Callithrix jacchus: one gene and its partners. The protein of the gene in region 3 interacts with the protein of the main gene of each other region in a pairwise test. Links are inferred from orthologs where the notes say so. Each region holds a gene or a part of one and is shown on either strand. Other genes may lie near its edges.

Region 1 (4,112 bases), on a different chromosome or scaffold from region 3:
CTCTGAAGCCCCCCAGACCTATGCATTGCTGCTTCTGAGATTCTCAATTGTTCTGCATGTGCCAGAGCTTCAAAACCAACGCACTAGAGGTGACACTGTCTCCCTTCAGTCTCAGCCAGCCCAAGCTCCTAGGCCTTACATCTGAGGTCCTCAGGAGCTGCTGGTTCTGTGCATCAGGAAGTCAGGGATGTTGGTTGAGGCTGGGGTTGGATCTTTTCTAGGGAATGCCCCTCCCTTCAAAATGCACGCATGATATGCTAGGCACAGTGGGGGGATATGAAGGTGAGTCCTCAACAGGTGCTGCCAGGGAGCTCACAGACTCGTATGAGCTCCCATTTACTAAGGACTGTATGAGCCAGGCACCATGCTGAGCATTTGACATCAATTGTCTCATTTAATGGGAGATGGGCCTTATTATTGTCTTCATTTTATTTATTTTTTTTTTTGAGACAGTTTTGTTCTTGTAGCCTAGGTTGGAGTGCAGTGGTGCAATCTCGGCTCGCTACAACCTCCTCCTCCTGAGTTCAAGCAATAGTCCTGTCTCAGCCTCCCAAGTAGCTGGGTTGACAGGCGCCTGCCACCAATGGCTGGCTAATTTTCATATTTTTTAGTAGAGATGGGGTTTCACCATGTTGGCCAGGCTGGTCCTGAACTCCTGACCTCATGTAATCCTCCTCCTGCCTCAGCCTCTCAGTATCATCTTCATTTTATGGATGAGGAATATGAGGCTTTAGAAAGGTTAAGGGACATTTCTAAGGTCACACAGCTACTAAGTAGCTAGGTTCTCAGCCCAGCACGTTGTAGTCAGAGCCCACATTCTACCACATTACACTGCCTTCTGCACACAGCAGCAGGACCAGGGAGGGTGCTGTGCAGTAAGGACAGCACCAGGAACAGGGAATGGAGGAGCTGCCACCCAACTGGGCTAGACCTGAAGGCTGGCCTGGCTCCAGCTTTGGGGCCTTGAATCCCATAGGTCAGTGACTGACAACCAAGAATGATTTGGGGCCTTCTCCCACAGCAGACATCTGGTGATGTCTGGAGGTCTTTTCAGTTGTCACAACTTGAAGCGGGGGGAAGGTGCTACTGGCATCTAGTGGGTAGAGACCGGGGATGCCATTAAACATCCCATGATGTGCAGGTCAGCCCTCACAACAAGGAATAATCCAGCCTAGAAAGTCAGGATGTCAGACGTATTGAAGTTGCTCAACTCTGCCACCGGATACTGAGGCCAATGAGAGCATGGGGAGAACTGAGGCAGATGAGAGCATGGGGAGAGCACCGGTTCACAGCTGGAAGGTGAACAAGGTCCAGACTCTGTCTTGGCTGCTGACTTCTCTTTCCCTCTCTGGGCCTCAGGGTCCAGTCCGGCCACAAACACACACAGGGCACAGCAAAGGTGAACTTGACTAATGCAGCACAGGTGGGACAAGGCTGTGTGCACTGGGAGAGAAAGGCCCTGTTTTAAGAGGCTGACGAGCCCAGTCTGTTTCTTTAGATTGGGTGATGAGTCAGGGGAACTTCTTTCCCTACTTCTTGCTCCGTGGGGTCTGCCGGGAAGGTCAACTTCCTTTCTTTGGACTGTTCCTCCTTTGAGCTCTGCCTCAAGAGAGAAAAGCCTGGAACCCTGGCTTTCTGGGGTCCACACCCATAATGTCCTGATCAGACAGTCACACCCTAATACAGTGCTGGGTGGTAATTCCACCCATGCAGGATCCAGGGATGGCCCCAGCTGGGCCATCCTGGCGTTGGAGTGGGGACCTGGCTCACCTGGATGTGGGGTGCAGGGCGGCTGAGGCTCACGCCTAGAGCCTTCTTTAGCAGGAGGCTCCTGAGCAGATCATGACTCAGCTGCAGTCTCTGGTCCCTCAGGGAGGTGTGGGAAGCTGTCCCCAATGGGAATGGGCTGGGAGGCTCCAGATTCTTCTTGCCCATGAAGTGACCTGGAAAGGAGGTGCCCAGGCACAAGGAAGTCAAGGAGTGAGGACCCTACCCCAGTGGGAAAGTTCCTCATCTCTCCCACAGTTCTGTTCTTGTGGCAGGAAGACACTTAACCTTCCTCCTCCTGGTTGTTCCACCTCACCAAGGAGCCACAAAAGTATCTGGGGGGTGGCAAAGCCTGCTCCCTCAGCTTTTCCCGAACAACTAGAGAGGATGGCACAGCTGGAAGGAGGGTGGTATGGTCCAGGGCCAGGGAGAAACTCTGCTAGTTGTGTGTCCTGCTTGGACAAGGGATGAGAAAGGGCAGAGTAGGAAGTGGAGTGTGTAGAGGGGCCTGGAAAGTGGAGGTGCAGCAAAAACACACGGGTGGTTAGAAGAGTCGGTGAAGTCTCGCCTAAGGTAAGGGGCACCGGCTGGCAGTGGGATTTAGGATCTAGCTAGCCCCATCCTGCCTTAAACTGGCTGTGCGACCTTAGCCAAGTCACTGACCTGTCGGGGTCTGAAGTTCACATCGATTAAATTAGATGAGCCCCAAGGTTCCCCACCTGTTCCGACACAAGTATCCGTGGCTGAGGAAAGGCCAGAGGGTTGAGAAGGAAATGGGGTCTGAGCAGGGTGGGGGACACTTGCTTGCCCGGTTCCCCTCAGACTTACCGGTGGCCCATAGGTTGCCCCGCGGGTGCACTCGGATCTTGCCGGCTCTGTTGCGGGGCTCCGGGAGATCCCAGCTGAGTGGAGCGACGCCGGCAATGAGCAGGGCGAAGAGCAGGAGGCCGCCGAGCAGCCGAGCGCCCCCCGCCCCCTGGGCCATAGCTGTGCCCCGGCAGCGGCTCGGTTCCGGCGCGCTCCACTGCAGCTCGGCTCCCGGGCCCGCCTTCGCTTCTTTTAAACCCGCGTCCCTGGGGGCGGAGCCTGCCCCGCGCGCCTGCCGCCGTCCCCACCCTCCCGCCCCAGCTGCTGGGTTCCCGGGCAGGGACACCCTCTTTGGGCCGCCCAGAGACCTGCACACCCGCACTCTGGCCCACACGCGGGCACCGCTTCCGCCTGGGGCTTCTGGCTGAAGCCCACCACCTTCAGGCTAAGGACTGGGTACTGGGCAAACAGAGGCCCAGCCCCGGAGGGGAAGCTGCTTCCCCCGGCCCTGCTTTGCCCCTCTCCCACGCCTTTTGGCCGAGCAGGTGCTTCAGCCCTCTGAGCCTCTCTTCATGAGGGTACAGGTCCGGCTAGGGGCCCTCCTCCCCCGTAACAGCCTTTTTTTTTTTTTCTGAGACAGGGTCCGGCCCTGTCGCCCAGGTTGGAGTGCGGTGGCGCGATCACGTCTCAACTGCAACCTCGACCTCCTGGGCTGGGCTCAAGCCTCGGCCACCTCAGAAGCTGGGATCACAGGCACACGCCACCACGCCTGGCTTTTTTTTTTTTTTTTTTTCTTTTTTTTTCAAGAGACCGGGTGTCGCTAGGTTGCCCAGGCTAACACAGGCATTTTTACAGTGTCCAGCCAAGTGCCAGGAACCAAAGGAGTTCCATAAACGAATCCCCATCACCTCCACCCTCTGGAGTAATCTGACCTCTGTTCACCTCGCGCTCTGCCCTCTCACAGCCAGCACCACAATCTGGAAATGTTCTGGTACACCATGGTACTCAGGATGGGAATGCGGAGTGATGAAGGGTGGGAAAGGGGCCGCTTCTGAGGAATGGGCATCCTGCCATAGGGCCTGGCTTAGGGGCAGGAAGGTGACCTCTGGGTCGGAAGTGCAAAGAGCCCTGGACCCAGGAGTCCAGGACCCGGGAGCTGTGACCCGGCTGAATAACCTCACTTTCTTCAACTGTAAAATGGGAATAACCACAGTGCCCTAATTATACTTTTACATGTTTTAGCGTAAGTACTCTGTGGCAGGAAGCAACAGTTCTGTAGGACCTGCCCTAACACCTGGCACTTTGTTCTCCCTAGGAGATGTCTGGATTTGTCTTGGAAAGAATGTCTGGATCAGTCTTGGAAAGAACGTCTGGATCAGCAGCATCATGTAATGAGCAGAGGAAGACACTATGCTCCAGAATAACACATTTATGTTTGCTTAATTAACTGAAACCCATTGTTCAGAGCACTGTGCTAGACACAAAAAGAGGAGAGACAGATAATTCCCTGCTCCATGGGAGTTAACCACCTCACTGGA
Region 2 (3,940 bases), on a different chromosome or scaffold from region 3:
CAGTGGGTTGAGATCACACTATTACACTCCAGCCTGGGTGACAAGAGTGACTCCATCTCAAAAAAAAAAAAAAAAAAGGTGGGCTCTGTGGCTCATGCCTGTAATCCCAGCACTTTGGTAGGCTGAGGCGGGTGGATCACCTGATCAGGAGTTCAAGACTAGCCTGGCCAACATGGTGAAACGCTGTCTCTACTAAAAATAGAAAAATTAGCTGGGTGTGGTGGCTTATGCCTGTAATCCCAGCTACTTGGATGGCTAAGACAGAACAGTTTGAACCCAGGAGGTGGAGGTTGCAGTGAGCCAAGATCGCACCACTACACTCCAGCCTGGGCAACAGAGCAAGACTCCATCTCAAAAAAATAAAAAATAAATTAAAAAGGGCCAGGCGCAGTGGCTCACACCTGTAATCCCAGTACTTTGGGAGGCCGAGGCGAGCAGATCACCTGAGGTCAGGAGTTTGACACCAGCCTAGCCAACATGGTGAAACTCTGCCTCTACTAAAAATACAAAAAAATTAGCTGGGGGTGGTGGCAGTTGCCTGTAATCCCAGCTACTCAGGAGGCCGAGGTAAGGGAATCGCTTGAACCTGGGAGGCGGAGGTTGCAGTGAGCCGACATCGCGCCACTGCACTCCAGCCTGGGCAACAGAGCAGGACACCATCTGAAAAAAAAAGAAAAAGAAAAAGAAAAACGGGTTAATGGAATGAAAGGGAGATAAAGGCAGAGATAGGGAGAAAGAGAGACGGAGGGAGAAATTAGAGGCAGACAGAGAAGCAACAGAAGATGAGACACAGGGACAGAGAGTTAAAGAAACAGTGGAGTGGAGACTGGGGGCAGCTGGCAGGGAGGAGCCAGGGAGCGGTTCTGACAAACTGGGCACTCTTCGGAGGTTCAGCAGTGCCCATTACCAGGCAGCCCGATCTTCGGCCTCAGGATCACTTCGAGTGTGGCCTTGTTGAAGATCTCTTTGCTGACCTTCACCTCGGCCGGCCCGTACACACCCGCCAGGACAGAGGTGTCACCTGGGGAGACAGCAGGGGAGGCCTCACTCACAGCGGCTTCTGGGGCCCCATTAGTGGCATTGAGCCTGATGGCCAGGGCTCCCCACGCCACCCCCGCCATTTGTTGGCAGTGATTCTTGGAGCACTCACTTCACTTTTCTGCCTGCGAATCCTCATTTGTAAAATGGGGACAACAGCAGTCCCTCCCCTCTAGCGTCCGGTAAGGGTCAAAGGACTCAATTCACAGAGAACACTTCAGACATTGTGGGGCTCATGCTGAGTGTGCAACTGACTTTAGCTGATATTAGTAATAGTCATCCATTAAGGCATTCAGGCAGGGTCTCACTCTCCTGGCCCAGGCTGGAGTGCAGTGGTGCCATCATGGTTGATTGCAGCCTCAACCTTTTGGGCTCAAGCAATCCTACCCCCTCAGCCTCCAGAGTAGCTGGAACTACAGGCACATGCTACCATTCCCGGCTTTTTAGTAACACACTATAGAAATGATCCCTGAAAGTACAGTCTTCATTCCCGGCTTTTTAAAAAAATTTTTAATAGAGATGGGGTTTCACCATGTTGGCCAGGGCTGGTCTTGAACTCCTGACCTCAGGTGATTTGCCCACCTTGGCCTCCCAAAATGCTGGGATTACAGGTGTGAGCCACTGTGCCGGCCTAATTTTAGTATTTTTAGTAGAGAGGGGATTTTGCCATGTTGCTCAGGAGGGTCTTGAACTACTGGGCACTTGTAATCCCAAAGTGCTGGGATTACAGGTGTGAGCCACCATACCTGGCCCTGATATTAGTAACTTTTAACAGGAAGTCCTTCCTGAAAGCTAACCATCCTCCCCCTTACTGCAGCTGCTCTCAGCCTCCTGAGTAGCTGGGATCACAGGCACCCACCACCACACCCAGCTAATTTTTGTATTTTTAGTAAAGATGGGGTTTTGTATGTAGGCCAGACTGGTCTTGAACTCCCTACCTCAGGTGATCCACCCGCCTCGGCCTCCCAAAGTGCTGAGATTACAGGCGTGAAGCCACTGCGCCCGGCCTCCCATGTCAAATTTTAAAGAAAAATGTTCTTGGAGTTAATCTAGTATTGAGTGTTATTTAGCTAGGGGAAGGGCATATTTACCCTATAGGTAAGACTTGCTCTAACCTTAGGGATATTTACTCCTGTGGAGAGATGCAGTGAGGTGGCAGTGGCGAGTATTTATGTGGGTGAAAGATCCGTCACAGTCCAGAGTATTTGCAAATAGATAGGTTTGCGTCAGTCCGGGATGCATGGACCTAGAGTGTGTGTGTGAGAGGCGGAGGACGAATCTAGTTAAGGGGGATATTTACTCTGGTGAGGTGATTTTTCCTATTCTGAAATATCCATTCTTGGGGGGACGGTCTGCCCCTCTTCTGTTTCTCAGAGATATTTGCCAGGATGGAGCTATCTTCTCCTTTCTAGTCGTGAGGGAGAGATGTGTGTATCGCTGCGTATGTAGTAGTATTCAACCGGACAAGAAATCCTGCATCAGTGCAGGAGTGACATTTACCAGCTGGTAACGTGGGGAGGTGGACACTCAGTTGCACTGTAGTCTCTCTCTGAAAGAAAGACCAGCGTGAAGTTCTTACCTTGTAGGAAAGAAGCAGAGCCATCTGGCCTCGACAGCAGGTTCTGTTCGCAGGCAAAGTGCCGGAGGCTGCAGCCGGGACCCCGAGGGCTGGACCCTCTTCCAGTTTCAGCGCCAATTTTGGCTTCAGTATGCCTCTCCTCCTCCATCACGCCAGACTCCACGTGCGGCTGCGATTGTCACTTCCGCCCGACCGCGCGCGCTGCGTACAGGGTGCGTAACCAGTGCGCACGCGTTGGGCTGGGCAGTCAGCCCCGGCGTCCGCACGTGGCTTAGCGTTTACCAACAATTTGGCTCCGCCCTGACCCACCTCCTAACTCTGGCAACACCATTGGGCAGTTGAGAACAGGAGGCGGGCCTTGGCCTGGTCCTGTTTTACTCTGAACACCGGGCCCCTAAATCCCTGGGGCCTTGGTCAGGTTGCCCTTTATTTTTGCCTGTTGCAGGAATAACTACAGTGAGGCAATTGTAGAAAACTGTGGACAGATAGATTTTCTTTTCCAAATCTCTGTGCATTCTGTCTACCACAGGAAGGAAAAAAGGTGGTTTCCGTGTCAGATGGTCCTGGAGTTTGCGTCAGGCATATAAAGGGGGAGCCCGGAGTCCAGCCTACAAGAGGGCCGGACCGCTAAATGGTTGTTAGCTAAGATGGCGGTAGCAATCGCTGCGGCGAGGGTTTGGAGGCAAAGCCGAATCCTGGGCCAGGCTGCCCTCCTCCTGCTGCTGCGGCGGCCTGGGGCTCGGGGACTGGCTATATCTGTGAGTACCTGGTCTCCAGGACGTCTTCCCAAAGGGGAATAGGGATGTAAAGGCTATCTTCAGAGTGTGGGGTCCCTGAAAGATATGAAGGAAGGGCTGTCCCAGAAGGGAAAACGTGGGAGACCTCTTGGAGAAGACACCGAAGGGAAGCTCTGCCACTTCCTTAGGAGAGGAAAAGAACCTGATTGCAACTTCTTTGTGGGCCCTGAGGGAGAAAGACGACTTGAGAAGGATGGAGTTCCTTATCCGCTGTCTTCCCCTATTCAGGGCTCCTTGGAGGGACCGCAAGACCTTTTTCTCTCAGGGTTTGGAGAATGCAACTGACTTTGTAAGGGAGAGACTTTCTTCTGGGCAAAGATCCCTCTTCAAGAAGGAGAAAGAAGAGAGCAGGTCCCTGTCACAGGCTGCATAGGGCCCTGTAGTTCTTTGCTCCTTTGCCACAATTCTGATTTTAAAATGAAATGTGTAAAAGATTTGTTTCATTCCTGTGTCTTCTGTTCGAATATCAAGACAGGGAATTCGTGTGTTCTGGACACACTACAGAGGAAATGATTAGTATTTGTTG
Region 3 (4,297 bases):
TAAGTATATTCATTATCTTACTGTTTTGGTCAGGACAAGAACTGAAAAAGAGAAATAATCTTGAGTTCAGAATGAACAATTCTTGTTATATGTATTTTCCCACATGTTAGGAATGTTCTGTAACTTTCCGAGAAATAGTGACTTCAACTAAATACTAAACTACTACCAAGCCCCAGCTGTATTTTTGGATGTGTTTAGTCATTGGGAGCCATGGCATTTCTTTTTTCTGTATTACGAACTGTTACACTCACTTACTCTGACTGTTAACATTGGAACAGAAGACCTCCTGTTCTGTGACTGATTGGCAGGCAGAAATGACACGGACAGGAAATGGGAAATGGTTCAGGGTCTCGGAATTCCCCCGGCTGCCTAATTAAGTGGCTTGCTATTTGGAAGTTTTTAAAATGTTTGTCCCTTGGAGTTCCCCAGAGAGAAGCAAGCATCAGATTCAATGGGCAAAGAGCGTCAACTTCAAAAGTCTTTGGCTGTCATACCAAAAACATTTACTGCATGCCATTGTGTCTATGGCACCACTGAGGGAGCATGGAGGTGGACACAAACGGTCCATGACTAGTAAAAGCCAAGGGTTTTTATCTACAAATTTTCTATTACCTAAGCATTAAAAAAAAATTGGGCTCCTCTATGGTTTATGTACAATTATATGTGCGTGTACACCAACATACAGGCAGGAGTATGTCTTTCATTTTACTGAAACTCAGAAAACACCGGAGCGTGAAGCCTGGCTTGCAATACAGTTCCCGTCGCTAGCAAGGAGCATCTGAAATACCGACACTTTTCCTCAGAGCGTGATTTCAGTATGCACTGCTGGTCTCCAGAACCGAAAACCAAAAGTTTAAAAACAAGATACTCTAGTTGATCATAAAACAATTGTTAAGTCTTCACAATTATTCATCGGATGCTTCCTACTTTCCAACGCTTCGCTGTTTTCGATTTGCACAGCCAACCGTTGGACATCGATGCTACACAGTTACGATTGTTTACTTAAGCAAAATATGCCACCAGACCGACTCCATCGTCAAAATCCAGTCATCTCGACGACGAGGGAAGGCATCACACTGGGGGGGGGGCCTTGCCAGGGCCAGGCCACAGCCCTGAGATGACACATGGTAGGACGCGCAAAACCACCGGCGCCAGGGTGTTTCCGCAGATTCAAACGCAGCGGCTCACGTTCTGCCACGTCCCCCAGGAGAATGGTGGCCACAGAGAGAAAGGAAATGTGAGGGGCACACACCGCAAGGTAAATAAAACGAACAAACACCGAGTTGATTCGGATAGCCCCATTCCCCTGACAACCCAGCCGGCGACTCCCGTGGGCGCTCACTGGCGCCGGGCCTCCCTGGGCCACCCGGCGTCTTTCCCGGAGGTTTGTCTCCTCACCGCCTAACCCGCGCTGGGTTTCGCTTTCCCGCCCCGGCCTCCCGGGCGCCCTCCCGCGGAGGCTAACGCGGGTCCCCGGCCCGGCGTGCTGACGTCACCGTGCGTCGGCGTGGGCCCGGCTGGGGCGGCGGGCTTCGGGAGCGCGGGGGCTGATACGAGATGAGCTGGCCGTATCTCCTAGTAGGCGCCGCCGCTTCCCGGCTCTGAGGAGGCCTCTCGGTAGCCGCGCAGCTTCCGTGTTTGCTGCGCCCGCACTGCGGTGAGTGCTGCTCCTTCCGGGCTCGGGCGGCGCGGGACGGGTGGGGACGGGTGGGGACGCGCGGGCCCGCGGGGGCCCACTTCCCTAATGTGGTGGCTGCGGGAGGAAGGACGCGGCCTGGGGCCCGTCGGCCGAAGGTTGAGGGTCGCCGGGGGTTCTGTGCTTTCCACTCTCACCGAGGTTTTATTTGATTCGGAAGCCCCAACTTCAAGACTTGCAGTCAAAGCGATTTTTTAAATAGGACTTGTTTTCAAGCCTCCTCTGGCCGCCGCCCACTCTTCTGGCCCTGGGACCTTGACCAAGATGTTTTCTCGCAGTTTTTTTTTTGCAAGGTTTTAAACTTAGCTTTCGGCTTTCTTTTAATGGAAGACATGGAAACGAAGACATTTCGGTGGCGCCGAGATCTCAGATTTCATAGTTCCCACTGCGCTGTCACTCCGGTAGTCGCCTGCGGTGTGTTGTGAGGAACAGCTCTGGGAAAGTATTGGGTAAATCCCATAGCTTCTATTCCTTTCCTTTCCGCCCTGTCCCCTTGCCCCGCTGCAGTTTGCATAAAGAGAATGCAGCAGTGTGGTGCTCGTAGATACAAATCTTTCATTTAAAGACAGGCTATGAGACGGGGTGTAATTAAAGCCGTCACGGCAGTGGTCACCGTGCCAGGACCACTGTTTCACAGCCCATCGTGTTAGGTTTTGTTTTCGAGTTGCTTTCTGCGGTTGTTGCCTTGGAATTGTAAGGGAATGGTGGCGTTTAAGGGTTTATATTAATGAGCTCCTGTTTTACTGCAGTTTTCCTAGTCGTGCAGAGACTTGATATTTACACACTAACGTTGCTGTCTAATTACTGCTGTACTGCTGCTCACCGGGTTTAGTGGAGTGTCTGCCTGTCTTTTTAACCAACGTTCCTTTGCCTCCAGGAGAGTGCCAGAGATAACTTAGGTCAGAAAAGGAGAGGAGCGCAAGGACAAAATGTTTTTTCCTGTGAAAATGTCCATTTGCCTTCAAAATTGTACATTTTCAAGACAGTATAGTTAGTGCTCTGGGAAGTATATTGCATTTATTTATTTTAATTAAGTACTTTTTCAGTTAGAAAGTTGTAGTGACAAATTGCTGGAATTAAGATGTATAATCTTTTCTTTTATTATTATTATTTTTTTAAGACAGAGTCTTGCTCTGTTGCCAGGCGCCAGTCTGGAGTGCAGTAGCGCAATCTCGGCCCACTGCAATCTCCGCCTCCTGGGTTCAAGCAATTCTCCTGCCTCAGCCTCTCAAGTAGCTGGGACTACAGGTGCGCGCCGCCATGTCCAGCTAATTTTTGTATTTTTTACTAGAGACAGGGTTTCACCATGTTGACCAGGATGGCCCGATCTCTTCACCTTGTGATCCGCCCACCTCGGCCTCCCAAAGTGCTGGGATTACAGGCGTGAGCCACTGCGCCCCGCCAAGATGTATTATCTAAAGTGTAAATTATTCTTTCACTTCACTGAATAAATTGAAGAGTATATAAGTTCTATTTGCCATGCAAATACAGTTTTCTGAAATACCTTTTGTTTTTTCTTTTCAGATTTACAGCCCTGAAGAATCTCCCTCTCCCTATTTTTCCCCCTGCAGTAATAAATCCCATTATGAAGACCTCGAAACTTTATAAAGGGATATAGTTTGAATTCTATGGAGTGTAATTTTGTGTATGAATTGTATTTTTAAAACATTGATTTCAGAAAGAAGGCTAGTAGAGTTGATTATTGATACATTATGCTAAGCAGTACTTTTTCGGTAATAGAATATTTTGTTAGGCATTTCTGATAACACTAGAAAGGGCAGGTTACATCTTGTGACAAATTGAGTAATGTTTAATTACAACATGACTGATAATTATAGCTGAATCGTCCTTAAATGATGTACAGGTTATTTAGCTTTTAAATGCAGTGTAAAAAGTGTGCTCTGGAAATTTTACAGTTAACTAAGTTTATGGAGAAAATACCTTTAGTTAATCAAGAATAATAAAACTGTATACAAAGTTAGGCAGAAAGTCCACATGATGCTGCAGGAAATGGAAACAAATACAAATGATATTTAACTAAGATAGAAGAGTTTACAGTCTGTGAACTTTAAGCAAAGTTCATTTGACATCAAACACTGTAACTGGCACAGGTTCAGCAAAGCTTGTGGGTGTTGGCTTCCCCAAAAGTTGTCAGCTGAAGTAATATAGCCCACTTATGTAAATACTCTGATGATAAGGGGTGTGAATTTAGCCTTTAAGTAGTGTGACCATATGAAGATTTTAATTACTTTTGTTTATTGGAATAAAATGAGATTTTTGGGGGGTTGTCATATTAAAATGCATATAGGGAAAGATGCCTGCATATAATTTCTTACCTTGTGGCATAATTCAGTAATTGTCCTGTTATCCAGGCTTAATAGCTTGTAACCAAACATAAATAAAAGGCATAATTTAGGTATTCTATAGTTGCTTAAAATTTTGAGAATATAAATCTCTTTGAAAAATCAAGGAGTTTTAACATTTTCAGAAGTGCATTGACTTTTTCTGAGCTTTTCGTTAGTATTATACAGATTATGAACAAATAGCACTTAGGTTGCCTAAAAGAGTGACTATAACCCCAAAGAGTCGTGTTCTAAGTAG
Region 4 (4,049 bases), on a different chromosome or scaffold from region 3:
GCTCCTTCCCCAGATTACCATCTTTGGTATTCTTACTTTTTAGGACCACCTGGGCCCTCATCTTGTACCTCTCAAACTCTTCCTTCAGTTGTTTCAGCTCCTGTTGGTAATAGAGTGCAGTAGCCTTCTCCCCATCAGCAGTCTCCGAGCTGGTCATTATCTCCAGGTCACAGAGCTTCTCCACATCCAGGGTCACCTGGCTTTTCCTGGCTGCAACCTGCAGCAGTCTCTTCAGCTTCTCCATTTTATCCTTCAGGACATTGACATCCAGACTAGACTCCTCTCCATGGCTGTCTAGAGGGGACCTGCTGGAGGCTGCTAGAGCCAGTGTCTTGTTCTCCAGGTCCAGCTGCAGAATACGCTCCTTCAGCTTCTGGATGGCCAGCTGGTCCTTCTGCTTGGCTTTCTCGTACGTGCCCAGCAGCTCCGACACCTCAGATATTTGATTCTCCAGGGCTGCCACCCTCTGTTCTTCCACCTGAGATTGCTGACGGAGTTGATCCTCTGCAAGAGCTGTCTGCAAAATAAGGGAAGAGAAATAATGCATCCACAAAAGCCCCACAGCAAACTTTGAGAAAGCAGGACAGGGGAGCAAAAGGGTCACAGGATTGGAATGGCCTGACAAGAATGGGAAATAGGGATTTTTCGGTTGATTCAGGAGCTAACAAAAGTTCCTATGACCTGCCTGGGTTCTGCAAGACATATTATACTAAAAAATATTAAGCACCTTGGCATATCTGCCATTCCATTCTGCTTTCCACCTAACTCACATATAATGTGTGTCACTGTTGTTTTTCAGGTGCTTCCTCAAATCTTAAGAAATCATACAAGATTTTTCCTTATCTAATATTCCTAGTAGTTCAAAACTGAGCTGGAGCTCCCTCACCACATTGGAAGGAAGCCCCCTTTCTCCACCAGAAAGGAGGCCTATTCTGGAAAATAGCATTTCTCCAGAATAGGCAAATCTTAAGTAAAGGCAATGACAAGAGGTTACTTCTGAGAAAATCCCCCTTTGCCTTCAGCCACCCTCCCTAGCGGCACATACCAACAGAAAATACACTACCTTTTACTGTACAGCTGCCACTATACTGCTTCATAGAACACAGCTGGTAAGATGCCAATGCCCAGAAGGGCAGGGCTGACTGGCTCCAACCCAGCCTACACTGAGAAGCTCCACATCCTCCTGGAAGCTTCTACGTCAACACCACATAAAACAGCACTTCCCGGGACTCACCAGTGGAACTTTTCAGGTAGCATCAAAAATGACAGTACAAACACTTAGCTCTCACTAGCAAAGGAGGAAAAAAACCCTAGTATTTCCCACTTCAGATCAATGACTATGTTTGAAAGAGAGGTGGATAATTACCTTTTTCATTTCCTGCTGTAACTGGGCCTGGAAATGGCCCTTAAGGCGGGCGGCCTCTTCCTGAAGTTCTTGCAGCCGGGGGTCTGGCTGATTCTTCTCATCTCGAATGGCCTGCAGTTCACTTTTCAGCTCCTCCACCTCACGGGTCAGCTGCTTGGTCTGAAGTTCAAATCCTTCCATCTGTTCAGCTGCATATGATCGTCCTGCCAGGGCTTCTCGGGTCTCTTCTAACCTAAGCTCCAAGTCCTGGCGCTGGGTCCTCTCCTCCTGCAGCAGCTTCTGGAGCTCACGCAGCATCAAGGCATGGTCACTCTGCTCTTGGGCCCGATCATGCTGCTGCGTGATAAGCCGGGCTTTGGTTTCTGCTATTTGCTCCTGCAGCCCCTTCAATTCTCCCTCCAGGCGAGCCCTCTCCTCCTCTGCCTTGTTATTGGCATCCTCTAAGTCCTGTTTCATCTTTTTCTTGTCAGCCAGGTAAGAAGCCTCCATGCGGGACTTCTCCTGAGTGACTGTGGCCAAAGAACTGGTCAAAGTAGCCAACTGAGTCTTCAGCTGGTGCAGTCTTTTGTCCACCTCCCCACCCGCAAATGGCCCATCCCCACTGCTACTGCTAACACCACTCTCTGACCCACTGGCCTCTTCGGACTTCGGAGGTGGTGGTCCACGGGCTGGTCTGTCATCTTCTATCCCAAACTCGCCCTTGGTGCTGGTGAGACTGGCTGCCGTATCCACGCTAGTGGCGGTCCCAGTGCTATCCTCACTGTGAGTGGAGCACCGGTCATCCACAAAGTCCGGAAAGGCGACGCCTGGAAGCTGGACACCTGCGAGGCCCACATCTGCCTCGTGGGATACCGACAGCACCTTGATGCTGGCCTCTAGCGCCTCTTTCTCCTTCAGCAGGCTTTTATAGGCACGGACCACATCCTTGAGCCGTGCCTGGTACTGGAAAAGCTGCTTTTTCTGCGTCTCTATAGTCTCCAGCAAGTCTTTCTTGCTCGGGCCGCCACCGAAATTCATAGCAAACTTCTCCATGAAGGTTCTGAACGGACTGCTCCACTTCAGCTTTCCAGTAGCCCAAGAGAGGGCTGCGAAGAGGCAGGCAAGGGCTTCAAGAAACAGCCAGCGGGCTGTCCGGCGGCGGGCCGCACACCTGCTGCACCCAGTTATCCCGGACCTAATGCGGATAGGCGGAACCTACAGACAAAAGTGCCCGCCTGGTCCCAAGCCCGGAGGGTGGGGCGGGTACTACCCTGGAGGCGGGGCGACGCTGGCACCAGAGGCGCGCTCGGCCAGGGCTCGTCCGCGCTGGCCCAGAAGCCGCTCCACACTCTCCGCTCTGTCCAGGCCACAGGAGCCCGGGCCGGCCCCGCTCGGCCCACGTCGGTCAGGTGCTCACGCAGAGCGGCGTCCCATCACGATTTCCTAACTACAACTGCCTGCCCACTACCGCGCTTCCGTGTCCGCTGGAAGTGACGTCAGCTAGGCGCCGCAAGCCCCGCCCCCAGTGGGCGCGAGTTAGGCGGAGCCCAGTCCGCCAGTGGGTGGGCGCGGCCTGTTGAAAACGCAGTAGGGTAGCGAGCGGCCAACAGGTTTGGGAAAGGAGAAACAAGCAAAGCCGAAAACATCAGAGTGGTCTGGGTTTTGTGAGAGCGCCTAAGCTTGACCTCGGGCTACGATCAGCGAGCGACAGAGGGCAACGTCGCACAGCGTTCTTAACAAACACCTAGGTGAACGACGCATCCAAGGATTTGGGGGCTCAGGTCCCATATCCCTAAAAGGCAACAATTAAAGACTTGCATATAGACCGCGAAAACTGGAGTACTCTAGCACAAGGCTTGGCACCTAGTAGGTATACAGCGTAATAGTCAGTACGCTTCCTTAGTTCTGCTGAGTTGATTCAACAAATATTTATGGAGGGCACTCTATAGCCGTGTCTATCCTGAGTGCCAGCTATGTACAAGGAGCGCACAAGAGTTTTGCTATTTCGTCTTCACGATAATTATTATAAGCACTATTTTCATTAGCACTATTTTACAAATAGGGGAACATGAGGCAAAAAGTTATACGTAACATGCCCAAGACCACAGAGCTAAGAAGTTTAGTTCTATCTGAATCAGTCTGATTCTCAACGTATTATGTGTTGTACCAGACGATAACACCATTAAGAGATACGACCTTGCTTTCAGGGAACTCACAATCTAGTGAGGAACTAGACATGCAAACATGTCCTGCTATAACACCGGTATGTATTGGTATATTCAAAGTGGTAGGAAAGTTAAGAGAGGAAAGAGGCCTGGCTCAATGAAGAATGGAAGGCTCTTGGGAATAATACTTTGGGATTTGAAGTATGAGTCCTGATTGTCCACCTAACCAGAGATCAGGGAAACCAGCATTCCAGGCAGGTGGGAAAAAAATGCAAAGACCTGTAGGGTATCAGAGTTTGACTCACCCAGAATGCATTCAAAAGTTTAGGGTATGTGAAGGAGGGGACAACAGAGGGGCTGGCATGAGAGGCAGGGACCCAACTTATGGCATTTAAATTTTATCTTGGGTGATAGTAAGGCCCTAATGGATTTTAATCTGAAAAGTGGAATGTCATCAAGGTTTGTATGACATGGTGGAGGGAACAAGGGGCAGGAGACCTGTGAAGAGACTCAGTCATGGGGAAGAGAAGGTAGTGACA
Region 5 (3,500 bases), on a different chromosome or scaffold from region 3:
TGAATTATGTATAAGAATAAGATGGAACACTATGCATTCATTACAAATTTCATTGCCTTTGTGAATTAGAATGCAAATATCTACAAGACAGGCAGTTGAAATTGGGAAAAAAGTGTTCATCCATGGAATTGGGCCCATTTCCTCAATTTCATGAGCACCCTGGTTAGCACGGGTGAAGGCCATAACCAAATGAATAATTCATGTATTATGATGATGTTGCCCAACTATTTCCAAGCAAATAATACTTTTAAAGTAAGGTCTGTTATCTTATTTTGGGAAATGCAAAAATAGCTGTTGAATTAAAACATACTTTAAATAATACAAAGCACAGTTTAAGTTTTCTTTACTGGATATTACCCAGCTTTCTTCTAATTTTAGTTCTGACTGACACACAACCTCATCCCTATGCTTTTTTGTATTTTGGTTTATCTTTTCCACACACCCACTCTGAATAACCAGAAGATGACTATGCTATATCCTCAAGTTGGATATTTGCTTGGAGCAATGGTTTAATGGTCTAGTTTAATGGTCAGGTGGTTGGACTTGGGAACCTGGTTGTCTGGGTTTGAAGTCCAGTTCTGCAATTTAATAGTTTGGTGACCTTCAGTGAGTTACTTAACCGTGTAGCCTCTGTACCTGTTTTTCTCATCTGTGAAAAGGGACAGTAATAGCTCCAACTTAATAGGGTTATTGTGATTACCATATATGTAATTTTATATACTGTACAATACATTTAGTAATGAGTTAATATATACGAATACTGTGACACAGTAAGTGTAAGTGATATATTAGTTTACTACTATTATAATTTATTATTGCTGTTACTATCATTTCAAAGTATATACAAAGCCAAAGAATAAACAAAGCTCATTTCCTTGGCATATTAAAATTTTAACTTGGGGAAATAATAAAAATTTTATACTTGGAAATATTATGGAATCAAGTGTAAAATTCACTGCAACACTCAAAAGCTAAAACACAATGCCTGGGCTGTCCTTTCCTTCTCCTTAGACTCTTCAGGCAGAAGCTCTGGGTCACCTGTTCAGTCACTGCGTGGGCTGCTTCATTGGGATCGTGGCACTGATTGACAAAGTCACAAATCTCTTGACTATTCACCATGAAGTTAATTCCATCTGTGGTGAGGACCAGGAAGCTGTCATCAGCATGATGTAACTGCAATCAGAACCAAATGCCTATGATTATTAGCTAGACTCTGACTTAGAATAATCTTGCTAATTCGAATATTTTTATCTGTTTTGCTAAGTGGTCATCTGTGTAAGAGCTTGTAAGCTGATATGGTTTGGCCCTGTCCCCACCCAAACCTCATCTTAAATTGTAGCTCCCATAATTCCCATGTGTTGTGGGAGGGACCCAATGGGAGGTAACTCAATCATGGTGGTGGGGTCTTTCCCATGTCATTCTTATAACAGTGAAGAAGTCTCATGAGATCTGATGGTTTGTAAAGGGGAGTTCCCCTGCACATGCTCTCTTTGCCTGCAACCATGTAAGACATGACTTTGCTCCTCTTTCACCTTCCACCATGATTGTGAGGCCTCCCCAGCCTTGTGGAACTGTGAGCCCATTAAACCTCCTTGCTTTTAAATTACCCAGTCTCAAGTATATCTTTATCAGCAGTGTGAGAACAGACTAATACATAGGCAAACAGTGAAAATGTAAAGCCTATATGTTGGGCAAAAGTAGTAACATTTAGAATTAACCACCAAGGATAAAGCTAATATTTAATTAGTAAAATATAAATAGCACTTAATAGCAGAAAGTAAAGAGTAAAGAAGTTGCAATCCTCTGAAATCCGATCACCAGAGGTAATCAGTCCTAACCATTTAGCAAACACCCTTCAAGATATCTTGCTTTACTTGCATAATTTAACATTGTAAAGGGAGAATCCAGATAGTCCAATGCTGAGAGGCAGCTTGATGTAACAGTTGTGAGTGCTGTCTTTTAAGGCCAGGCTTCTAGGATTTGAATCTTGCCTCTATTTTTGGGCTGGGTGAGCAGAGGTGCATTGACCTCTGTATGCTTTAGATTTTCCTTGGAAAATGTAAATAGTAGTACTTATTTTGAAAAAAGTCTAGCACATAGTAAACTCTGCCTAAGTATCTGTTAGATAATATGAAGTAGGATATCTATAAGGCACAAAGTTGGATATCTACAGACTTGAAATCCTTCATGCAATTAATTAACAAGTGTTTGCTGCCAGTTTTGGAAGCCTACACTATACTGTACTAGGGACTATAGTGGCTCAGGAGTTTTAGAGAAGTGTCAGTTCATGGACTGGGTGTGTGCTGGGGGCAGTTAAGGGCAATGAGGACACTGATCAGTAGCATGCAAAGGATGCTGCAGAAGTAGAAGTGGGCAATTATTTGGTTTGGTGGAGAAGGGAAGTCAGGGCAGCTTCCATGTGGAGGTGATGTTGATTGATTGGGTGCAGTGATGCTGGCTGACTGGGTGCAGGTGAAGCTGGCTGATTGGGTGCAGGTGATGCTGGCTGATGGGGTGCAGTGCCGCTGGCTGACTGGATGCAGGTGATGCTGGCTGATTACGTACAAGTGATGCTGGATGATTGGGTGCAGGTGAGTAAAAGTAGGACCATTCCACCAGGAGAATTCCATAGCTGGAGTGAAACAAAAACCTAACACTTCTTCATACTGAGGGATACCAAAATATTTCTCTCCCAAATACTGAGGATTGCCAAAGTAACTGAAAAGGCAGGGGAACAACTTCCTGGGCCTCTATTTGCCTGGTGGCTGGAGACAGCACTTGTTTATCAGCCCAGAGAAGAAACCAGCAGGCACTAGAGAAATCTGGGAACAGGTTCTACTATTTCCACACATTTTTCTGCCTTTTAAAAGACTGAAAGTGTTCTCTTCTTTATCTTGTCCCTATGTAGGATTTGTGGCTCTTTGTTTAAATACTATTTAAGCAAAGCCCCTAAACCACTGCCTTGAGAGAGAAATACTTTGAACTGAAGCCTTTCCTGCACAATGGGTACAGCACGCTGAACCGTCTGCTTATTTGTAGTTGTTGTAGTTAATCTGACTTTTGTTTTCAATAAAGTGTCTCAGCTAAGAACCTAAAAAGGGGGAAAGAAATAATTTATGGTTTCTCCTCTACATTAGGCCAGAATAGTAGCATCTTATTTTAACTGAAAAGTTTTTTTTTTCTCCTTCCATATATTACTCCCTTTTAAAAATCATTTTGGCTTCAGTTAAGGCTTCCAAGAAAGCCTGCAGCGGAGGCATTCCTACATTCACTCTCTGCAGGTGCATCAAGTGCTTGCAGGTCCTTTCTTACCTTAATCCTCTTAGTTTCAGGTTCTGCTATGACACCACTGGTTTTAAGATCCAAATCTCCAATACTTCTTGTCATTGCAAGCCTGCCATTTACATGAGGCTGCCCCAAACTATTCCAAGCCACAAAACCACCACATTTCTTGATCCTGTTAAAAGTTAAATCACAATGATGTGATATGCAGAAAACCA
Region 6 (4,235 bases), on a different chromosome or scaffold from region 3:
TCACCAAGCACAGGAAAGGCACTACTGACCCAGAAGTAAACAGGAGGCATTCATTTCAAGTTAAAAAACCTGCAGGATGGCCGGGCACCGTGGCTCACACCTGTAAACCCAGCACTTTGGATGGGTGGATCACCTGAGATTGGGAGTTCAAGACCAGCCCAGCCAACGTGGTGGAACCCCGTCTCTACTAAAAATACAAAAATTATCTGGGCGTGGTGGTGGGCACCTGTAGTCCCAGCTACTGGGGAGGCTAAGGCAGAAAAATGGCTTGAGCTGGAGAGGCGGAGGTTGCAGTGAGCCAAGGTTGCGCCACTGCACTGCAGCATGGGTGATAGACTGAGACTGTCTTAAAACACACACACACAGCTGCAGGAAGTAGTGTGGTGTCCTACCTGATGTGTTCAGACAGGGTAGAGAACTGGTTCTCAGCAAGAGGTGATTTTGCCCCCCAACCCCTACAGGACACTTAGCAATGTCTGGAGACATCTTCAGTTGTCACATCTAGGGCTGGGGTGGTAACAGCATCTAGTGGGTAGGGGCCAGGGATGTTGCTACACATCCTGCAATACACAGGACAGCCCCCACAGCAAAGAATTTTCATGCTCAAAATGTCACTAGAGCCAAGGCTGAGAAACCCTGTGGTAGAGTGGTCATCTCTTACCATTCTTCTACAAGACTGCTTTACTTCAGTACTCCAATTGTACCAGCCTCTGAGCTGTTCCTATCATACTCACAGCAGGATTCCTTCTCAGAGCCTTTGTACCTGCTATCCTCCCTGCTTAAATAACCATTCTTCAAAAGTTGCAAAGCTCTCACCCTCTTTCTTCAGATCTCTGTTCAAGTTATCACCTGATAACAATGTCTTCTCAAAATATCGTAATAGAAAATAAGTCACCATGCTTTATCTTATTTTTCTCACAGCACTTACCACCACCCAAGCATTGCTTACTCATTTTTGTCGTTTTTTGTTTAGTTTCGAGATGGAGTCTCACTCTGCTGCCCTGGATAGAAGGCAGTGGCACTGGCTCACTGGAACCTCCACCTCCTGGATTCAAGCAATTCTCCTGCCTCAGCCTCCCAAGTAGCTGGGATTACCAGCACCCACCACCCTGCCCAGCTAATTTTTGTATTTTTAGTAGAGGCAGGGTTTTTGCTTGTTGGCCAGGCTGGTCTCAAACTCCTGGCCTCAAGTGATCCACCCACCTCTGCCTCCCAAAGTGCTGGGATTACAAGCCTAAGCAACCACACCTGGCCTTGTCTGCTTTTCTCTCATCAAAATATAACAAGAACTTCATGAGGGAATTTGTCGATTTTGTTCACTGCTATAGTCCCAGTGCCCAGAAGTGTACCACATATTACCAACTGCCTAACAAACATTTATTGAAAGAACGAATAAAACAATGAATGGACATTAGGGAGGAGAACTAAAAGGATTTAGAAGAGAGGCAGGGCAGAAAAACAGTGCAACAGTTAAGACACATGAACTTCAGAATCACAAAGAGGTTCCAGTTTCAGCACCACCACTTGCTAGATGTATGATCTGGGGGCACACAACAGCCTCTCTGTGACTCAGGCTTTTTATTAGTAAAATGAAGATAATGATAATAAAAGAATTTACCTCCTGCACATCGATGGAAGCACCTGGCACTGAGCCTGACATGCAATCAGGGCCAAACAAATGCTAAGCTCTTGGTGGCATTGGTTTAGTGACCAGCAGAAAGGGGAGGAGTAATTTTAGAGAGCCCTGAGGTTTCCTGTGCAAGGACTGGAAGCTGGGGAAGAAGCCATTACTCAGGCAAGAGCAGGTATCGGAATCAAAAAGTACCAAGGCAGGGGTGGTGCTTCAGCTGCAGAGGTGGCCTAGGACAGAAATGCAATGCGTGGACTCCAGGGCCAGACTCTGCCTGTAAATTCCCACTCCTTCATTCACAAGCTACGTGGCCCTGCGCAAATTACTTGTAGCCCTCTGTGCTTCAGTGCTCTCATCTTTTAAAATGAGGATAACAATACCTACCTCTTAGGGTGACTGTGATGCTCAGTGATTTATGTTACCCAAACTACCCAGAATAATGCGTGGCCTAAAGCAAGCGCTGTGTAAATGTAACCATTATTATAATGACAACACGGTTAAGATCATGGTTTCTGACGTCAGGGAGCCTGAACTGGATTCAGGGTTATTAGCTGGGTGACCTTGGCAAGTTACACCAAACTCTCTGTGCCTCCATTCTCTTCCAAAATTAAAATAGCCTTCACCTAAGTCCTAAACCCCACAAGCTTCAGCAGAGTAACTTCCAAAGGTTTTCAGAGCTCCACCCCTGCCTTGCCCCCAAGCAGAGATCTGCAGAGCAAATCCAACCCACAAGCACCAAGCACAGGAAATGCACTAACGACCCTATGATTCCGGAGAATTCCCAACCCCATCCAATAGCCCACGCTCTACTCAAGAGACGAGAGCTGCCATTCCTGCTCCCTCCTCCCGCAGAAACTGTAGAACCCGCCGGTCGAGGCCTGGAGCGCCCGCGAGAAGGGGCCGGGAAGAGGAAAGCCACGGTTGCGACTCGCGGCCCAGGAGCCGGGGAAACCCGGAGGCTGCGCCCGCGTCTCCTCACCAGTAGCAGCTGCTGTAGACACAGGCGTCCCGCGGGGGGCTGGCCGGCTGGTACTGGGCGGCAGCGGGGCCATTACCCTCCATGGCCGGCTAGCTCAGCCAGGGCCCCAGCCGCAGGAAGACCGACTGGACCTGACGTAGCAAAGGAAGGGGCTGGCGTGCAGCGGCCCGCACGCGCACCCAGGGCGGGATGAGCGGAGCGCGGGGCAGCCGGGGCAGTTTCTGGGTGGCGGGGCCAGGAGCGCGGTGGGGCGTGGCCAGCAGCCTGAGTTCCCGGCGCGGGAATCCCGGGACGAAGTGGGCGGAGCTCGGGGCGAGCGGCGCAGGTTCCTGGGAGGGTGGAGCCCGAGCTAAATGGGCGGGTCGGGGGTGGGGTGAGTGGCGCGAGCTCCCAGTGGACGGAGCCCCGAACAAGGACGACATCGTGGTTCCGGGTAGGCGGAGCCCGGATGGTGGGTGGAGCCTGGGGTGGGGAGGGGCGGGGCCGCGTGTTGTGGTGGGCGGAGTCAGGGGCGGGGTACCGGTGAGGTTCGGGAGAAGTGGGGTCTCTGGCGACGACCTGAGGAGGAGCTAGGCTTGGGCTTGAGTTGGGCCCTGAATAGCGCTTCGCTGAGTCTCCCCGGAGAGGCTCTTCCAACCTGGGATGCGCTTCTGCGCTGTGGAGGAACCAGGTGAGATACTGAAATAACAGAGGTTTGGGTATGAAAATCCACAATTCAGCACTCAGCCTGGAGTCCGCGGGAGCCCAGAGAAGACGTGGGGCGTGAAGGGTAATTCCAAATATGACCTCATCGAGGACGCTTTCCGAAAAGGATAGCACCCCAAATCTCACTCTATTGTAACTTAATTTTTTTAATTGGAAGACCTATATCTACTGGCTCGAAAAGGTATATTAATTCCCTGATACAGTAAATTTTAGAAGTTTAAAGAGTTCATATGGTATCCTTTATGTGTTAATCATATATTTGTTCAATTACTGGCAGTCTGGAAGAAAAGACATCATATTGTTAAAATAGTGTTTATCTCTGGTGAATGAATGGTATTAATATCAGGGACTTTAAGTTTCAAGGACTTTCACTTTACACTTTAGTCTTCTGAATTGTTCATATTTGCAATGAGCATAGATAGCTAATGGGGGTACACTTCTCATTATAAAAACTGAGATGTTACATTGATTTTAGCTATCCACAGTCGGATTCTCCAGTCTCAGGAGTCTCAAAGCTGATAAATCCTAAAGACCGAGCATAGTTCCTGTCAGTTACCAATTTTATTGCCTCTCAGCTCTTAATACAAACTTCCACATAGCCTCTATGCTAAATAACAACTCTGGTAAACGTTTCTCCTTTAAAATGAGTGGGAAACCCTGCAAGCTAGAAGGGATTGGGGCCCTATCTTTAGTCTCTTCAAACAAAATAATTAGCCAAGAATTTTGTATCCAGCAAAACTAAGCATCATATATGATGGAAAGATACAGTCTTTTCCAGACAAATGCTGAGATAATTTGCCACTACCAAGCCACCACTACAAGAACTGCTAAAAGAAGCTCTAAATCTTGAAAAAAAAGTCCTGGAAACACATCTAAACAGAACCCCTTTAAAGCATAAATCACAAAGGACCTATAAAACAA
Region 7 (4,112 bases), on a different chromosome or scaffold from region 3:
TAGATTATCCTCAATATGCATTAAGACATTCAATTTTATGCCAAACCCATTTTATTTCTTCTCTGTACCTTATAAAAGCACTCTTTAAGGATTAAGACTTTATGGTATAGGAGTGGCATTATTCTTTTGATTAAAAAATAAATAAATAAAGCCTAGCTCTTTACACAAAGAACTGTGGCAACTATAAGGGATACATTAACTGGTAAGGGTAGTAACACTACTCACCTAACAGTGATCTTCAGGTATGCAATGCAAGAAGTTTAGTTTATGTGACTGCTCTTAGATTCACAACTTTTTTTTTTCTATTTTTAAGACAGAGCCTCGCTCTGTCACCCAGGCTGGAGTGCAGTGGCGTGATCTCAGCTCACTGCAACCTCCGCCTCCCGGGTTCAAGCGATTCTTCTGCCTCAGCCTCCTGAATAGCTGGGACTACAGGCGTGCACTACCATGCCTGGCTAATTATTTTAGTAGAGACAGAGTTTCACCGTGTTAGCCAGGTTGTTCTCTATCTCCTGATCTCGTGATAAGCCCACCTCAGCCTCCCAAAGTGTTGGGATTACAGGCCTGAGCCACCACGCCTGGCCTAGACTCACAACTATTATCAGGCCATGAACCTATTTGGAGGTAAAGAAAAAAGTACATGCCTGACACCCTCTTTCTCCCCAGATATCTACCAGCAATTCTTGGACTTATTAAGTATTTAAAGGTTGTTACTACTTACTTGGATACTACATTACTTTCACAGTAAATTATGCAAATTTAAGTAAACAAGTATGCCAACATACAGAGACAAAATACTCTAACCACATGTTGCTTACCTCTTTATTTTTATACAATGAATTGATGATCAGTTTCATCATTCTGTTAACTTCAGCTTGGAAGGCAAACTTTTCCGATTTCTCTCTAAGTTCTCTTATTTGTGATGCATTTAATCCATCCAACTGAATAGCTTCTTCCTCTCTAAGGAAATCAGATAAGCAAATACAACATGGCTTAGCTCCCTTCAAAACTAGAGAAACTATAATGAGAGCACAGTGGCCTCTGAATATTGTCTTGGGAGTTAAAATGGAAACCTTTATAAAATATTACTGATATACCATCTCATTATGTTAGCACAGCAGTAGGCTACCTTTTAATATTGCATTGGAAATACTGGGTTCTTAAAATTGTCAGAAAAATAAATCCCAACTTTTCATACTCATTTATCTTCCACAGTGAGGACTTCAAAACTGTCATTAAGTCCCAAGAGGCCAAATTTAAAAATACTGTTCAACTGACAGAAACCCCATTTTTAAACTTACGAGGTGTACACAGTTAATGAATACAAATCCAACTGAAAGTCTTTTCTAGTCTTACAAAGTTTATGGTGCTAGTATTCTGCAATATAGTTTTCAAAGGAATTCACTCAGTTTAATCACTCCCAGGTACAAGTTAGGAGGTATGTATGCAAATAACTCACCGGGTATTAAATACAAGGGTGTCAGACTTTATTTGGACTTTTGGAGAAGAGATACATCAGAAGTGACCATAACTCACAAGGTTCACAGGGCTTATCTGTGTAGGTAAGTTCAAATGAACACAAACCTCTGTACTACTTCATCATCCGTCCTCGAGCCTTCTCTACTTTTACCCAGATCCGCTTCTACTGTACCATCCACATCAACTTCATCATCAGCTCTGACCGACCCTGAAGAAAGATTTAATACGGGAAAACTCTTCAACATTGCACTTCTCCAAGGAGGATGATCAAATAGGGAAGGGTAGGGGTTGCAAAATTCAGTTGGTAAATAAGGGAGGTAGGGATGAAAGAGTGCACATTCCTTGGCTTAAACACCCAAGGTAAAGCCAAGACAGCACACCTATTTATAAGTTCAGATGCCGAGGTGCCCCGTAGATTCTGAAATACGGAGGCAGCCACCACTTCTAAACAGCGTGTCTCCGATCCTTTATAAATAACGTTAAGCAGACTGATGCCGGGCCTCTTTTACACCCACACGTGTTGCTCGCAGGCCGAGCCAAGGCCTCCCAACTGTCCAAGCCAAAACTTCGGCCTTCGTTATCACAGGTCAGAATACAAATAGGATTTATGCAACCTCTGGCGAAAGGAACTGAAATTGAGCCCAGAGGCATGAGAAGGGGTAGAATATTGTGAAGAACCGAGCTCCACCAAAACCGAATCAAACACGCTGACACTGCCATTCCGCTGGCCCCAGGCCTCACGCTCCCAACGCCGACATCTAAGAAAGGACAAGCGCTTGCGAGGAATCGGAGTCTGGGGAATTCGGGGTCGGGAAAGCTGGGTGCCCGAAGGTTGCGGTAGCCAAAAGAGTCCTTCTGGGTGGGGGGGACTCGCACAGCTCCCGCGGGAGCCCGAGCCCCAATGAGGCCCCTCCCCGCGGTCGCTGAGACCTCTGGGCGAGATACTATTAGACCTGCAGGGAACTTAGATAATTCTATTCTCTTTTCTTAATTCCAAAGGAAGAGAATAAACGTAATCCCCTAGTCCTCTTTCGAGGAAAGGCGACGTCCCTTGGCCCACCGCAGGCCCTGAGATCTCCCTCCTCCCAGGTTCAATGCCCCCAGAACCTTCGAGAAGCGGCCGCGCGTGTGGAGGGGGGGGCGTCTGCTCCTCTAGAATCACTCACCGAAGGTCAGCAGGACGCAGCAAAGGCCCAGCACCCACAGGGCCCTCATGGCGTGCGGCCGGTGAGTCTCAAGTCCCTTCCGATAGCAGGAGCCGCCTCCACCCCCCAACCCTGGAGCTAGATCCTCACACCTCCGGCCGTGCGGTCCGCCCACTACACCCCAAGCAGGTCGGGCCGCTTTTCACCCCCACTTCTCGCGGGCGGGGGTTGGGACACACGAACCTACCAATCGCGCCGCACCACGCAGTCACGGCACCCAATGGGGACTCGTGGGGGGGACGGAAGTCCACCAATCGCAGCTGTCCAGGTGCGGTGACCGCTGCCCAAAGCGTGGCTCCTTCCGATTGGTCAGGGTTTGCAGCTCTTCTCCAATCAAATGGTTCCGCGGGCCCCTCACACGAAGGACCGCCCCTTTGCCTGGGAGGCCTTGGCCTCTAAGGGAGACCGTCCAATGAACGTAGGCACAGAATACGTCCATCCTTTTCGAGAGGTCGCGGCGGAACTACTTCCGGATCCTAGAGAGCGTTTATTCCGTGACCGGGGAAACGGTAGTCGTGGCAACGCGTTCTTCACCCTTTCCCAACTACGACTGGGGTTACGTTGGGAGTGATTCCAGCAAGACTTTCGCGGCCAGCTTTTTCGTGTAGCGGCGCTTCTCAGAAAGGAGAAACACACGAGAGAGGTTGAAAATCCCTAGAACGCTTTCGGATGGAGGCGGTTAGAAACTACAGCTCCCGGCATGCAACATCCTCGGGGGGTACACTGCATTGAATGCTGGGAATCGTAGTCTTTAGTTTCTGGACCAGCTGCGTAGTTTGGCACTCTTCATTTTCTCCCAAAATGTTGCCGCCGGAGCCCTATCCTGCGTCTTAGATTTTACATCTCGTTCTGATTACAGTAGAGATCTGTGGCTATTCCAGGAGCTTTTAGAAGCGCGCTTGGAAAGCCGCCACGCCTAGGCCAAGGCCGCCCCGTTCCGGGGAGATCGCTCCGAGTCCCTCCGAGTCCCTCCGAATCCCTCCGACTCTAGAGCTCGCGTTTCCGAATCCGCCTACAAGTGCGTTACTCTGGCCGCCCGAGCCGTTACCTCCTCTGCTCCTTTCTGCGGCCAGAATCCCCAGGCCTCCCTGATCTGGTTTACAGAAGTGCGTGGTGGGGACCTTCCCGACTACACTAGAGGTATCGCGAGCAGCTCTGAGGCTTTCAACTCTCCGGTAAAACACAAAGGCTGCGGTGATATGACGGTCTTAGAACCCCTGCTGTGGAGAGCAGGGTGGAGAAGCGAGCCTAGCACAGAAAAGGAAAACCCTTCGTTTAACGAGTTCAGGAGGATGCACCTGCAGATATTTGAAAGCAAAACCTGTGGTGCTGCACATGAGAACGGGATTGCAGCTTTGTAACTTCATAGAAATACCCTGTCCGCGTTCAGAAGGACATATAAAACACCAGGTGTCTTTCCTGTGAGGG

Evidence for each region.
Region 1: the proteins of BIRC2 (region 3) and NMB interact in binary tests that used the Homo sapiens proteins (3 or more experiments, as listed by UniProt). The two-hybrid records come from large-scale screens. The link is inferred for Callithrix jacchus from reciprocal best matches to the Homo sapiens genes BIRC2 and NMB.
Region 2: the proteins of BIRC2 (region 3) and EXOSC5 interact in binary tests that used the Homo sapiens proteins (3 or more experiments, as listed by UniProt). The two-hybrid records come from large-scale screens. The link is inferred for Callithrix jacchus from reciprocal best matches to the Homo sapiens genes BIRC2 and EXOSC5.
Region 4: the proteins of BIRC2 (region 3) and GCC1 interact in binary tests that used the Homo sapiens proteins (3 or more experiments, as listed by UniProt). The two-hybrid records come from large-scale screens. The link is inferred for Callithrix jacchus from reciprocal best matches to the Homo sapiens genes BIRC2 and GCC1.
Region 5: the proteins of BIRC2 (region 3) and PPM1K interact in binary tests that used the Homo sapiens proteins (3 or more experiments, as listed by UniProt). The two-hybrid records come from large-scale screens. The link is inferred for Callithrix jacchus from reciprocal best matches to the Homo sapiens genes BIRC2 and PPM1K.
Region 6: the proteins of BIRC2 (region 3) and NTAQ1 interact in binary tests that used the Homo sapiens proteins (3 or more experiments, as listed by UniProt). The two-hybrid records come from large-scale screens. The link is inferred for Callithrix jacchus from reciprocal best matches to the Homo sapiens genes BIRC2 and NTAQ1.
Region 7: the proteins of BIRC2 (region 3) and HSP90B1 come close enough for resonance energy transfer, tested with the Homo sapiens proteins (2 studies listed by BioGRID). The link is inferred for Callithrix jacchus from reciprocal best matches to the Homo sapiens genes BIRC2 and HSP90B1.

Annotation. Positions count from the first base shown.
Region 1 is NC_133507.1:23,745,477-23,749,588, reverse strand, and holds the start of NMB (neuromedin-B), read right to left. Parts: upstream 2,801-4,112; 5' UTR 2,753-2,800; coding exon 2,596-2,752; intron 1,944-2,595; coding exon 1,771-1,943; intron 1-1,770. UniProt on the Homo sapiens protein: Stimulates smooth muscle contraction. Induces sighing by acting directly on the pre-Botzinger complex, a cluster of several thousand neurons in the ventrolateral medulla responsible for inspiration during respiratory activity.
Region 2 is NC_133523.1:36,667,916-36,671,855, forward strand, and holds the start of EXOSC5 (exosome complex component RRP46), read right to left. Parts: upstream 2,801-3,940; 5' UTR 2,766-2,800; coding exon 2,618-2,765; intron 1,524-2,617; exon of another isoform or gene 1,331-1,523; intron 1,022-1,330; coding exon 908-1,021; intron 661-907; exon of another isoform or gene 618-660; coding exon of another isoform or gene 587-617; exon of another isoform or gene 1-586. Other genes in the region: BCKDHA (2-oxoisovalerate dehydrogenase subunit alpha, mitochondrial), read left to right, coding at 3,265-3,375. UniProt on the Homo sapiens protein: Non-catalytic component of the RNA exosome complex which has 3'->5' exoribonuclease activity and participates in a multitude of cellular RNA processing and degradation events.
Region 3 is NC_133511.1:2,389,922-2,394,218, forward strand, and holds the start of BIRC2 (baculoviral IAP repeat-containing protein 2), read left to right. Parts: upstream 1-1,497; 5' UTR 1,498-1,657; intron 1,658-1,974; exon of another isoform or gene 1,975-2,026; 5' UTR 2,027-2,145; intron 2,146-2,816; exon of another isoform or gene 2,817-2,839; 5' UTR 2,840-2,944; intron 2,945-2,987; exon of another isoform or gene 2,988-3,118; intron 3,119-3,220; 5' UTR 3,221-4,297. UniProt on the Homo sapiens protein: Multi-functional protein which regulates not only caspases and apoptosis, but also modulates inflammatory signaling and immunity, mitogenic kinase signaling, and cell proliferation, as well as cell invasion and metastasis.
Region 4 is NC_133512.1:119,386,002-119,390,050, reverse strand, and holds the start of GCC1 (GRIP and coiled-coil domain-containing protein 1), read right to left. Parts: upstream 2,801-4,049; 5' UTR 2,399-2,800; coding exon 1,367-2,398; intron 518-1,366; coding exon 1-517. UniProt on the Homo sapiens protein: Probably involved in maintaining Golgi structure.
Region 5 is NC_133504.1:109,410,003-109,413,502, reverse strand, and holds part of PPM1K (protein phosphatase Mn(2+)-dependent 1K), read right to left. Parts: intron 3,458-3,500; coding exon 3,313-3,457; intron 1,174-3,312; coding exon 1,039-1,173; intron 1-1,038. UniProt on the Homo sapiens protein: Serine/threonine-protein phosphatase component of macronutrients metabolism.
Region 6 is NC_133517.1:73,988,315-73,992,549, forward strand, and holds the start of NTAQ1 (protein N-terminal glutamine amidohydrolase), read right to left. Parts: upstream 2,801-4,235; 5' UTR 2,693-2,800; coding exon 2,610-2,692; intron 1-2,609. UniProt on the Homo sapiens protein: Mediates the side-chain deamidation of N-terminal glutamine residues to glutamate, an important step in N-end rule pathway of protein degradation.
Region 7 is NC_133510.1:106,876,481-106,880,592, reverse strand, and holds the start of HSP90B1 (endoplasmin), read right to left. Parts: upstream 2,801-4,112; 5' UTR 2,695-2,800; coding exon 2,646-2,694; intron 1,688-2,645; coding exon 1,585-1,687; intron 961-1,584; coding exon 819-960; intron 1-818.